Oryctolagus cuniculus: one gene and its partners. The main gene of each other region encodes a partner of the protein of the gene in region 2 in a complex. Links are inferred from orthologs where the notes say so. Each region holds a gene or a part of one and is shown on either strand. Other genes may lie near its edges. The genes, in order: LRRC26, KCNMA1 and KCNMB4.

What was found.
Region 1: the proteins of KCNMA1 (region 2) and LRRC26 are in contact, whole or in part, in a cryo-EM structure (PDB 7YNZ), measured with the Homo sapiens proteins. The link is inferred for Oryctolagus cuniculus from reciprocal best matches to the Homo sapiens genes KCNMA1 and LRRC26. Residues at the interface, in NP_001154824.1 of Homo sapiens: Pro78, Cys79, Asp80, Ser81, Arg82, Gln84, Trp88, Ala92, Ser93, Val96, Thr97, Glu155, Trp158, Met159, Ser161, Val162, Trp165, Cys206, Leu226, Leu227, Phe229, Gly230, Leu231, Phe233, Ile234, Asp251, Phe252, Pro256, Phe259, Val260; in NP_001013675.1 of Homo sapiens: Gly204, Cys205, Gly206, Cys207, Ala208, Arg236, Leu237, Ala249, Phe250, His252, Cys253, Ala254, Gln255, Leu257, Arg260, Asp261, Leu262, Val264, Val265, Tyr266, Leu268, Gly269, Pro270, Ser272, Phe273, Ser276, Leu277, Cys280, Leu281, Leu283.
Region 3: the proteins of KCNMA1 (region 2) and KCNMB4 are in contact, whole or in part, in a cryo-EM structure (PDB 6V22), measured with the Homo sapiens proteins. The link is inferred for Oryctolagus cuniculus from reciprocal best matches to the Homo sapiens genes KCNMA1 and KCNMB4. Residues at the interface, in NP_001154824.1 of Homo sapiens: Phe98, Phe99, Leu102, Phe103, Leu106, Leu107, Arg109, Thr110, Tyr113, Leu114, Thr116, Val117, Asp238, Leu240, Trp241, Leu244, Pro327, Trp328, Asn330, Gln332, Leu367; in NP_055320.4 of Homo sapiens: Thr11, Glu12, Ala13, Glu14, Lys16, Ser17, Leu20, Leu24, Ile34, Phe35, Cys38, Trp39, His105, Thr164, His165, Val183, Leu186, Ile187, Leu190, Thr191, Ala194, Leu197, Ala198, Lys200, Ala201, Met204.

What each region holds. Positions count from the first base shown.
Region 1 is NC_091432.1:237,465,701-237,469,437, forward strand, and holds LRRC26 (leucine-rich repeat-containing protein 26), read right to left. Parts: upstream 2,384-3,737; 5' UTR 1,765-2,383; coding exon 1,095-1,764; intron 1,019-1,094; coding exon 702-1,018; 3' UTR 626-701; downstream 1-625. Other genes in the region: TMEM210 (transmembrane protein 210), read right to left, coding at 2,557-2,740, 2,820-2,849, 2,955-3,090, 3,221-3,320. UniProt on the Homo sapiens protein: Auxiliary protein of the large-conductance, voltage and calcium-activated potassium channel (BK alpha). Required for the conversion of BK alpha channels from a high-voltage to a low-voltage activated channel type in non-excitable cells.
Region 2 is NC_091446.1:67,887,985-67,891,630, reverse strand, and holds part of KCNMA1 (calcium-activated potassium channel subunit alpha-1), read left to right. Parts: intron 1-555; coding exon 556-674; intron 675-3,646. UniProt on the Homo sapiens protein: Potassium channel activated by both membrane depolarization or increase in cytosolic Ca(2+) that mediates export of K(+). It is also activated by the concentration of cytosolic Mg(2+).
Region 3 is NC_091442.1:72,991,612-72,994,841, reverse strand, and holds the end of KCNMB4 (calcium-activated potassium channel subunit beta-4), read right to left. Parts: intron 1,227-3,230; coding exon 1,058-1,226; 3' UTR 516-1,057; downstream 1-515. UniProt on the Homo sapiens protein: Regulatory subunit of the calcium activated potassium KCNMA1 (maxiK) channel. Modulates the calcium sensitivity and gating kinetics of KCNMA1, thereby contributing to KCNMA1 channel diversity.

The DNA of each region.
Region 1 (3,737 bases), on a different chromosome or scaffold from region 2:
CCCACCCACCCCAGAGACTGCCCACCCTGGGCCTCCCGCCCGCCCGCCCCGCTGCTGCCTGGCGGGCAGCCCCTGCTGGACCAAGGTGCCGACCGGAGCGGCTGAGGACGGCCAGAGCCCAGCCGGTTGGGCAGGGCCGCGGGCGCTCCAGGAGAGGCAGGGCCCCCGGGGTCTCTGAGCAGTGGGCCCAGGCCAGGGGCTGGGGGGCGTAGGCCGGCAGCCCGTCCGTCCCAAGCCACCAACCACCCTGAGCCCCAGTGGGGGCCCACGGCCCTGGCTGGCCGCTGCAGCTGAGCGCCACCTTCTCCCGCCGGGGCCACCCCTGCCCGCGCCACTTCTTCCCCTCCCCGACGCACCGGCTGGCCCTGCCTGCCCTGCCCCCAGGGCGTCCTGGCTCTGCCGCGGGCAGCCGCCTCCCCAGGCCTCCCCCTCCGGACTGCGAGAGGCTGAGCCTCCTCTGGGCCGGCTGCCGGGACCGGATTCCGCAGACGCCGGCTCAGGACTGTCTTCAACCCTGCCCCGCACGCCCGCCGCCTTGTACAGCATCAGCCCTCCCCGCGCGGCCCGTGTGCCCCCCGCCCCACGTGGTGTGCAGTGGTGATGCCTAAAGGAATGTCACGACATCTCGGCCTGTGTCGCTTGTTGGCGCTGGGCAGGGGCGGTGGGGGGAGAGCGGGGGTGGGGCTGGGGGGGGCGCCCGCTCAGGCCTCGGCGGGGCTCCCAGCGTTCGCTGGCGAGGCTGGGCCGCCGGGGTCGAGGTCCAACGATCTCCTTGGCGGGCGGTGGGCAGCAGTGCGTTGGCGGCGGCGGCGACGCGCGCGGCAGGCGGTGAGGGCGGAGCCCAGCGCCAGGCAGGCGGCCAGGCTGGCGAGGAAGGACGCGGGACCGAGCAAGTAGATCATCGCCAGGTCGCGCGGGGAGAGCGGCCGCGCGCAGTGTCGGAAGGCGGCGTCGGGGAAGGCGGCCAGGGGGCTGCGCGCCAGGCGCCCCGGCGACACGCAGACCGGCGTCTCGGCTTCTGCGGGACACAGGCGGCGTCAGGCGGCGGCCGCAGCTTTGCCCGAGCCGCCTGGCCGGCACCCCGCACGGCTCACCTGATGCGGGCCGCGGGTGCCGACGCAGCCAGGTGCAAAGCGGGCGCAGCGCGCAGTCGCAGGTCCAAGGGTTACCGCGCAGGCGCAGCGCGTCGAGGGCTGGCAGGCCGGCCAGCAGGCCAGGCGAGAGCGCGGACAGCGCGTTGTCCTGCAGGCTGAGCGCGCGCAGCAGCGGGAGCGCGCCTAGTGCTGCAGGCTCCAGGCGCGCCAGCCGGTTGCCCGCTAGCGAGAGGGTGCGCAGCGCGCGCAGCGGCCCGAAGGTGCCTGGCGCTAGCGCCTCCAGCCGGTTGGCGCTCAGGTCGAGCCGCTGTAGCGCGCCCAGGCCCCAGAAGGCGCGCGCGTGCACCCAGCGCAGCTCGTTCTCGCGCAGGTCCAGCCGCAGCAGCGCGTCCGCGTCCGCGAAGGCGCCGGGCGGCAGCGAACCCAAGCGGTTGTGGTCCAGCAGCAGGGCGCGCACTCGCCGGCTCAGGCCCGCCGGCACCGCGGACAGCGCGAGTGCCGAGCAGTTGGCCTGGCCGCCTGGCGCGCACGCGCACGCCTCGGGGCAGTCCGGGGCGCCCGAGACCCCCGAGGAGGTAGCCAGGGAGGGCGCCTGCGCGCAGACTTGCCACGGATGCAGCAGCAGCAGCAGCAGTGGCGGCGGCCACGAGGAGAATGATGGACTTCGCATGGGGGCAGTCGGGGGGGGGGGGTGCGAGGCGGGAGGCCTGGCGCCCCTGCGTCCTGGGAACCCGTCCCTTCGGCGCCTGCACCAACACTAAACTGACCGGGGCACCCGTAGTTCCTGTCCCAAGCCTGATCCCGCGCCTGGGGCGGGGGCCAGGCTCGCAGCCAACACCCAGCACCGCCAGCCACCTGTCCCGGAGCTCCGGGCTCGTGACTCTGCGCCAGCCGCCGCGCCGACCAGACCGGCCCCCGCCCCGCTCGTCCACCTCCGGTGCCCCCAGCGTAGACCTCAGCAGCAGCGCTGCACCCACCAAGCAGGCGGAAGTTCCGCGGAGAATGCGACCCAGTGCCCCTCTCAGGCTGAGCCAAGCGGTGCCCCCCAGAACGGACGTTCCCACCCAGTGAGCCGGCTGGTGGGGGCTTGAGTTCAGGGCACAGGCACTGCGATGGAGGGGGCGGTGCCCCCCCCGCGGTCCCCAGGAATCCCGGATCTGGAGGGGACGGTGTGGGCGCGCAGGAGGGACTCCAGCCCAAGTCCTGGGCCAGGTGTCCTTTTATGTTTCCAGCTGTGGGTCCTGTGTTGGGGGGCAGAGGGGGGATGGGATGGGCAGGGCCCCAGGATCCCCAGACTTCACAGGACAGAGCCACAGGAAGGAGCTGGGGACTCCTGGGGGGGGGACCCTGCCCCGGGCGGAGATAAAGGTGACCCTGGCTATGGGCGCGGCACATGTGGGGAAGCCAGCAAGGACAGCGCCACCACTAAATACCATTTAATCCCCTCCCGGCAGCTAGGGCCCTACTCAGGGGGCGGGGGTGGGGGTGGGGGCGGGTCCTCCAGAGAGGGGTCCATGGTCAGGAGGCCCTGGTCCTCCAGCGGGGTGATCATCGACACCTCCATGTCGGGGTCCATGAGGTGGGACTCCACGTGCACCGTGTGCAGGTCCATGCGGTCCTCCTGGACCCCGAAGCGCCCCACCAACCTGCAGGACGCGGGTGTGGTCAGCGCCCCGGGGCGGTGCTGTCCACACTGCAGGCTCCCTGGCCCGCCCCTGCACTCACCTGCTGTCCACGCGTCCCGGGCATGTTTCACTGAGGAGAGAGGCTGGGCGTGAGTCCTGAGCCCCGGCGCTGCCCCCCGCGCGTGCACACCGAGGGCCTCACTCCCCCGGCTCCCAGCCCCAGGGGCCCACGCACCCCTTGGCTCGGAAGACGCCGATGGCCACGATGAGGAGGGCGCAGAAGCAGCTGGCGCTGACGCCCGCCAGCACCACGATCAGGGCGATGAGGGCCTCCCGGCTGAGGCCCAGGCTGCACTCGCAGTAGGTTCCCGCTGCAGAGACAGGGCCGTGAGGCCGAGGCCCGGTCACCTGCCTGGGGAGGGCCTGGGTCCCCGGCGGCCACCGGAAGGACACAGCGTGCCCACCCTGCGGGAGGGGAGAGCCCTGGCTGGGGGCAGGCACCTGCAGCAGGGACGAGCCACAGGGACAAGCCCAGGAGGCCCAGGGGACTGCCCAGGGGACTGCCGGCCAGGCAGGAGTCGGGCTGGGGACAGAGGGCCATGTCCAACCCCCAGCCCCACCGCACACCTCTGGACGGAACTCGTCGGAAGGCGCTGACCTCACAGTGGGGCTGTGAGGCCGGGGGTGGGGGGGCAGGGTCACTCGTCCCGGAGTGCCAGGAGGTGGCCCTGGGAAGGGGCAGGTAGGGTGGGCCTGGGGCCCCTGCTCAGCTCTGAGGCAGAAGCAGTGGTGGGGAGCGGGACGCTGCTGCCTGAACCCCGGCTCCTGGCACGGAGGACACAGGGGCCCGGCAGCACCAAGGCTGCGTGGGGGGGGGGGGGGCTTGGCGTTCAGCTGATGACGCGGCACTGCCTCCCCCAGGGCTGGGGCACAAAGGGGCCGAGGAACGCACTTGTGCCTGGCTGCCCTCGTGAGCTACTGCCGGAGAGTCCGAGCCACACCCCCAGCAAAGGCCAGG
Region 2 (3,646 bases):
TGTGAATCCCAGCTCCCGGGGAAACACATTGTCTTCCATCCCTGCAAATTGTGCTTTTCACACAGTCCCTCCCTGAAGTTGTCTGTCACCCTAGGACCTGGTGGGGTCTTTTCTCCTCCTAGTGATTTCCATTAGCACTCAGCCTGTTTTGACAGCAGGAGCTGAGCACCAAGGCCACCATTGAGCTGGGGCAAAGCCTAATCCCCGTGTTGAGGAGCCAGTCTCGCCCCCTGCCCCATGGAGGGTACCTTAGAGACCTTCCACCCTTACCCCTCCCTTACAGTGAGAGGCTGACTCCTCGGAGCTCTCATTGCTGCTGGTAGAAAACGGGTGCGACCCCAGAGGAAAACTGCATTATTTTCTGATCCCTAAAATCCCACTGGTTGGGTGCAGGCTGTTAACCACGTTGGGTTCTTTGGCCACGGTCCCTTGACACAGACTCTGCAACCCGGCAGACACCAAGACCAGCTTTTACAGATAGGTTCTTCACCCCCTTGGAGCTCCACGTGCAGGCACGTAAAAATGATGTTTCTCTGTTCTTTCGTTGTCTCCCAGGACGGCGGTTGTTATGGTGACCTGTTCTGCAAAGCTCTGAAAACCTATAATATGCTTTGTTTTGGAATTTACCGGCTGAGAGATGCCCACCTTAGCACCCCCAGCCAGTGCACAAAGAGGTGAGTGTGCCCACTCTGCTCTCCCACCTAAGTGCCCCTTGCTAGCCCCGACCATAAAGGCAAAGGACCACGTAGGCACGCGCTTGCAACATGCAGATCACTGTGGCCACCTTAAATCACCCTGAGGTGGGAGGTTGTGGGAGACATTTCTCTTTACTTCTAATAGCTGGATGTAAAAGCCTTGTGGCAAGAATCCAAGTTCTGTAAAACAGTTCGCTTGCCCAGTTACAGAAGTCTCCCAAACCCTGGCTACTGGATAACCTCTGTGGGTGCCTAACAGAGCTATTTCACATCGCTGGTGTTTAAGATAAATGGTTCCTTTGCCATTTCTTAGAATCCTATATGCTTTACTGTGCATATTTTTAATTGATTCACATTTTTACTCTTATATATTTATTTTTAAGAAAATTGTATATTATCACCCTAAGCAGACAAATAACAGTTTAGGCATGCTGGTTACATTTTTTCTAATATGCATTAAAGTAAATTCATAGCAGGCAAAAATTAAAAGTGCATCCTAGAATTACTGAAATCAATGAGTTTGCATAATATACCCCAGGAAATAATGCCATAGAGAAGAGTGTTTCCCAGCTCTGTTTGCATTTTTTAATCACCTGGGGAGATTTTTAAAAATACTATGTTTACCCTGATTTAACTGGTTTGGAGCAAAAAAAAAAATTGCAAATGAGAATACATCAAAAGGTTCATGGAAAATGGAATTAAAATCTACGTTTATTTTGATGCAAACAGTTTTTTAAATCATGCACACGAGTATGCACACATGTGTAAAAATAAATAAGAATTACATCTATATGATGCCCAGGAATTGCGGAGTACAGCCAGAGCTGGGGGCCACTGCTGTCTGTCAGTGGGTTCTCACAGTTTAGGGCGAGTGAGCATCTCCTGAGGACCTTGTTGAAACAAGAATTGCTGCGCTCTGCCCTCAGAGGTGACGATTGAAGAGGAGTGAGGGTCTCAGTTGGGTGGGCTAAGCATTGGCATTCTTCACTTTGTTGCTTGTGTCCTTTGCCGTGCAATAGCTTCTTAGCATCATGTAATCCCATTTGTCCATTTTTTCTTGTATTTCCCAAACTTCTGGGATCTTAGCCAAGAAGTCTTTGCCTAGGTCAATATCTTGCCGTGTTTCTCCCATGCTTTCCTCTACTAATTTGTTGGTGTCGGGACTTAGGTTTAGGTCCTTGATCTACTGTGGGTTGATTTTTGTGTAGAGTGTAAGGTAAGGGTTTTGTTCCAGACTTCTGCATGTGAGATTCAATTTTCCCAATGTGATTTTTTTTTTTCTTTTTTGGAAGAGACACTGTCCTTTTATCAGGGAGTGAATTTAGCTTGTCAAAGATTAGTTCTTGATATCTGGTATTGCAATGCCTCTGGTTTTATTTTTATTGTTTAAGATTGCTCTGGCTATTCAGAGTCTTTTGTGTTTCCGTATGAATTTTAAGATTGTTTTTTCTAGGTCTAAGAAGAATGTCCTTGCCATTTAATTGGGTTCACATTAAATTTGTAAATTGCTTTGGGTAGTATGGACATTATGATGATATTAATTCTTCTAATCCATGAACATAGAAGATTTTTCCATTTTTTGTGTCTACTTCTATTTCTTTCATGAGTGTTTTGTAATTTTTCTTGTAGAGATCTTTCACATCCTTGGTTAACTTTATCGCAAGTCACTTAAATTTTTTGTAGCAATTGTGAATGGGACTGAACTTACACGTTCTTTATCAGTCAGAGTACTATTGGTATATAATAATGCAACTGATTTTTGTATGTTGATTTTGTATCCTACAACTGTGCCAACTTCTCTTATGAATTTCAAGAGCCTCTCAGTGGAGTCTTTTGGTTCCCTTACATAAAGGACTATGTTATCTGCGAATAGGGACAATTTGACTTCCCCCTTTCCCTGTATTCCTTTAACTTCTTTTTCTTGCCTGATGGCTCTGGCTAAGAGGCAAGCAACACAATGGGAGAAAATATTTGTACACTATGCATCCGATAATGGATACATATCCAGAATATATAAGGGGCTCATGAAACTCAAACATCAAAACAAACAGCTCAATTAAGAAATGGGCAAAGGACATGCACAGGCATTTTTCAAAGGAGGAAATACAAATGGTCAACAGATGCATGAAAAAATGCTTGGGATCACTAATCAATAGAGAAATGCAAGAAAAACAGCAATGAGGTATCTTCTCACCCCAGTTAGAATGACTATCATCCAAAATATCAAAAAATAAAAAATGCTGGTGAGGATGTGCAAAAAAAAAAAAAAAAAAAATGCCCTAATCCACTGTTGGTGGGAACATGAATGAGTACGACCATTAAGGAAGACAGTATGGAGATTCCTCAGAAAACTAAAGATAGATCTACCACATGACCCAGTTATCCTACTCCTGGGAATACATCCAAAGGAAATGAAAGCAGCATTTGAAAGGGTTCCCTGCACTCCTGTGTTTTTGGCAGCTCCATGCACAATGGCTAAGATATGGAAGCAACCTTAGATATATTTTAGCTGATAAGTGAGTAAAGAAAATGTGGTATGTATACCTGATGGACTATTACTCAGCCATAAAAAGAATGAAATCCTGACATTTGTAGCAAAATGGATGCAGTTAGAGAACATTTTACTAAGTGAAATAATCCAGGCCCCAAAACAAAATACAATTGCTTTTTTTTTGTGGTAATTAACATATATAGAGAAGACAAGATGTCAGATCATTTGGATTATAGTTATAAATGTTACTTCACTGAGTCATAGCATGTAAATGACAATATATTCTTGTTTCACACGTTGAGAAAAAGAAATGGAGTGGACAGGAGTAGTAAGGACTTTGGGGGAACTACTAATGTTGTGTTCCTAATTTGGATGTTGGTTATAAGGGTGAGCAGATGACCAAAAACTCATTGATCTGTATACTTAAGTGCCTTTCTTGATACATATGCTGCATTTTAAG
Region 3 (3,230 bases), on a different chromosome or scaffold from region 2:
ACAACTCTGGCCCCAAGGGGCAGGCCTTCTTAAGAACCACCTCCCTCTTTTAAATTTTATGTGATTTTATTTATTTGAAAGGCAGAGAGAGAGATCGATCGATCCCATCCACTGGTTTACTTCCCAAATGTCTACCAACAGCCAGGGCTACCCCAGGCTGAAGCCAGGGGCCTGGAATACGAGTCAGGTGACCCATGTGAGTAGCAGGGCCCCAAGTACTGGAGCCATCACCTGCTGCCTGCCAGGGTGTGCATTGTTATCAAGAAGCTGGAATCAGGAGTAGAGCCAGGACTCAACACCACACACTCTGATATGGGATGAGGGAGTCTCAAACAGGGTGTGGACTGTTGTGCCAAATGCCCGCCCCCATTCTCAGCTCTTAAGACGTGATCTAAGGAAAAGCTCTGGATTGGCAAAGGCAGGTGCTGGTAGATGCATTTCCCCAGCCTTTGAGGGTCCCGTGCTTATGAGACACAGAACTTCCTGGAGACCAAGTTACCAACACAGTATTCCTGTTTTCAAGCAGGAAGCAAAAGACTCTTTTTAATAATGGAACCTGAGGGTCATACAGTGAGGTCAAGAGTTCTGCGGGAATTCTCATTGTCAAGTAAAAGTTTAATCTAGCAGAATCAAATATAAACCACAAGGTTTTTTTTTTTAATCCTGGGTTCTAAGCATAAAAAAGGAAATAGAAAAGAACACAGACCACTCTATTTTAATATTTTAAGTAGCATAAATCATAATAGTTTGTATACTACACTATACAAAGAATATACTGTTACTTTCCAAAGAAATGAACTTCTTATTGGGTTTTCTGAAACAGTTACTCCATACAGCTCAGAACTTGACCCTTCAGCCATGGCGAGACACACAGAATACAAGCGATGAGGTTCCAAGGCTTCCACTGTGCCTGCTTCTGCTGCCACGGAGGGAGGAGCCTCTCGGAGACCTGTCGCGGCCCCCTCCGTCGCCTGCACCAGGAAACACGGGCTCTGCAGGTGGGCGTGTGCCAGCAAGTGCAGCTTCTGTGCTTTGTTCCCCGCGGGCCTGCTCCCCGTTACGAGAACTTGCGCTTCTTCATGGCTTCTGCCTTGACGGCCAGGCTCTTGGCACAGATGGTCAAGACCACAATGAGAACACCCACCACAAATGTCACCAGGGGCCAGAGGAAGCAGTGCAGGAGGACGATCTCATCGTGCGTGCGGTGCAGGAGCACGTCGTCTGGTCTGCAAGACAGTGGGAGGAGAGAGCGGTCACACGCTTTGATACAGCACTGAAAACTTACAACCTGCAGCCAGATTCGCTTTCCAGCCCCAAAAGGGAGACTCTTCATCGAAATCACAGATCTCACTCTGACTATAAATACTACATTTGGTGCTTTTCGCTCTTGAATCAAGTAATTGGTGCAAATGTGCAGATTATGTACAATATAATTTGCATGCTGCAAAATGTCAAAATTCTAACAACCTCATGCTGTTATATTCTCCTCCATTCAAGGTAGCTTATCATTTTCTACTTTCTCATCTTGCAGCATTCACTGGTCAAAGGACTTGAATCAGCCTATCAGTTATTGATGGGTAGACATTTGCCAACAAACCCAAACTAGACCTCAGCGCTTACATGAGGCCCAAATGATCTGAACTCAAAAAGAAAAGTCAGCTCAAGCCACTATTTGAATTGGTCAGAAAGACAGATGGTGTAGCCTTCAGGCCAACTCAGTTTTTTTATTAACAAGCAGACAATAGCTGGATTGAAAGCATGTTTTCATGTTTCTTCTTAAGCCACTGATCCTTTTCATGACAAATCTGGCAAAGTTTCAGCAATAAATTTTGATCTTGATCAATGTCAAATATTGACATAGAACCAGTATCTATTTTTCAATTCTGCATGGCCTCACGGACAGGAAGTGAAGAGGGAAGAGGTATGCCCCATAGGCCAAGGTCTCTCATCTTTGATGATTAGCAAGAGATCATGGCGCTTAGCTTTCCCATAAGAGGTTTCTATTTTGCAAGAAATTTCCATGATATCTGCAGGAAGGTTTGGTCTGCTACATGAGGGTAGCCATACTTCTTCCAGAAAAAGAAGAAAATAATGCAGAATAATCAGTCCAGTTGCCTGCAAGAACATCAAAGACTCCAGAGTCCACGGGACCTGCATTTAACAGAGAAATGCATTCCTGAGGAGTGTCCATTAGTCATAGCTCTCAGAATTCAGAGTCTCTTTTCCCAGAAGACTGAAGAAAGATGCCGAGTATTTCTGTTGTGCCTCCAGTGGCACTATCATGTGGCATTAACAGCAAGAGTTTTGCAGACTGGCTTTGAAATTACCTAATCTTTGCATTTTTTAAATTCTGCACACAAAGTGAGATGTCTATTGATACTTTATTTGACAGTATTTCAATTAAAATTTATATAGAGTGCAGAGTCATGGTAACAATTAGATAAAAATCACCCCAGCTTGCAGAAATTACCCCATTTTCTGAACACCTGTCTTCAAGACTTGGGCTACCATTAATTTATGTGTATATATGAATGCATATATCCATGTAAAGATTCATAGGTGTGGGGAGCAACTCGGACTAGACTAAGTTACTGGAATTAAGACTTATTCTATGCATCTGCTCTCCCACAATATGGCACTGAGAAGGGAGTAACAGCTTCTACACAGCTGCCTCCAGTTCAACCAATAAACTGTAGGACCTGCTCCTGATTGGAGGAGAGCAGCGTACTCGGCGTGTGGGTAGCAGAGTTGGGATTGGTGGAAGAGGACTATAAAGGAGGAGAGAGACAACATGCACCAGGAACATCTATCTGAAGGAACACCTGTGCAGCCCCCGAGAGAGCCGGCCAGCGGTGTGCCGCTCCCCCGCAGAAGTGGGGAAAGTGGCTAGGGGGAACCGCCCTTCCACGGAGGTGGAAGGGACGGTAGCCAACCCGGGAAGAACCAGCAACAAACCCAGGAAGGGCCAAGCAGACAAAAGAACAGCGCAGGGTCCTGTGTCATTCCTCCACGAAGACGGGGAGCAACAACATAATGGTGCCGTGACTCGGATATGAAGCCTAGGCAGGGTTTAGTGTTGCTCCTCCACGAAGAGGGGGAGTGACATAATGGTGCCGTGACTCGGATAGGAAACTTAGGAGAGAAGAAGCGGGAAGAAGTGGGAAAATACCGGAGAGAGAGATTAGCAAAGAGCCTAGGGGAAAGCCGGACGGAAAAGGTGCCGGAAGAAG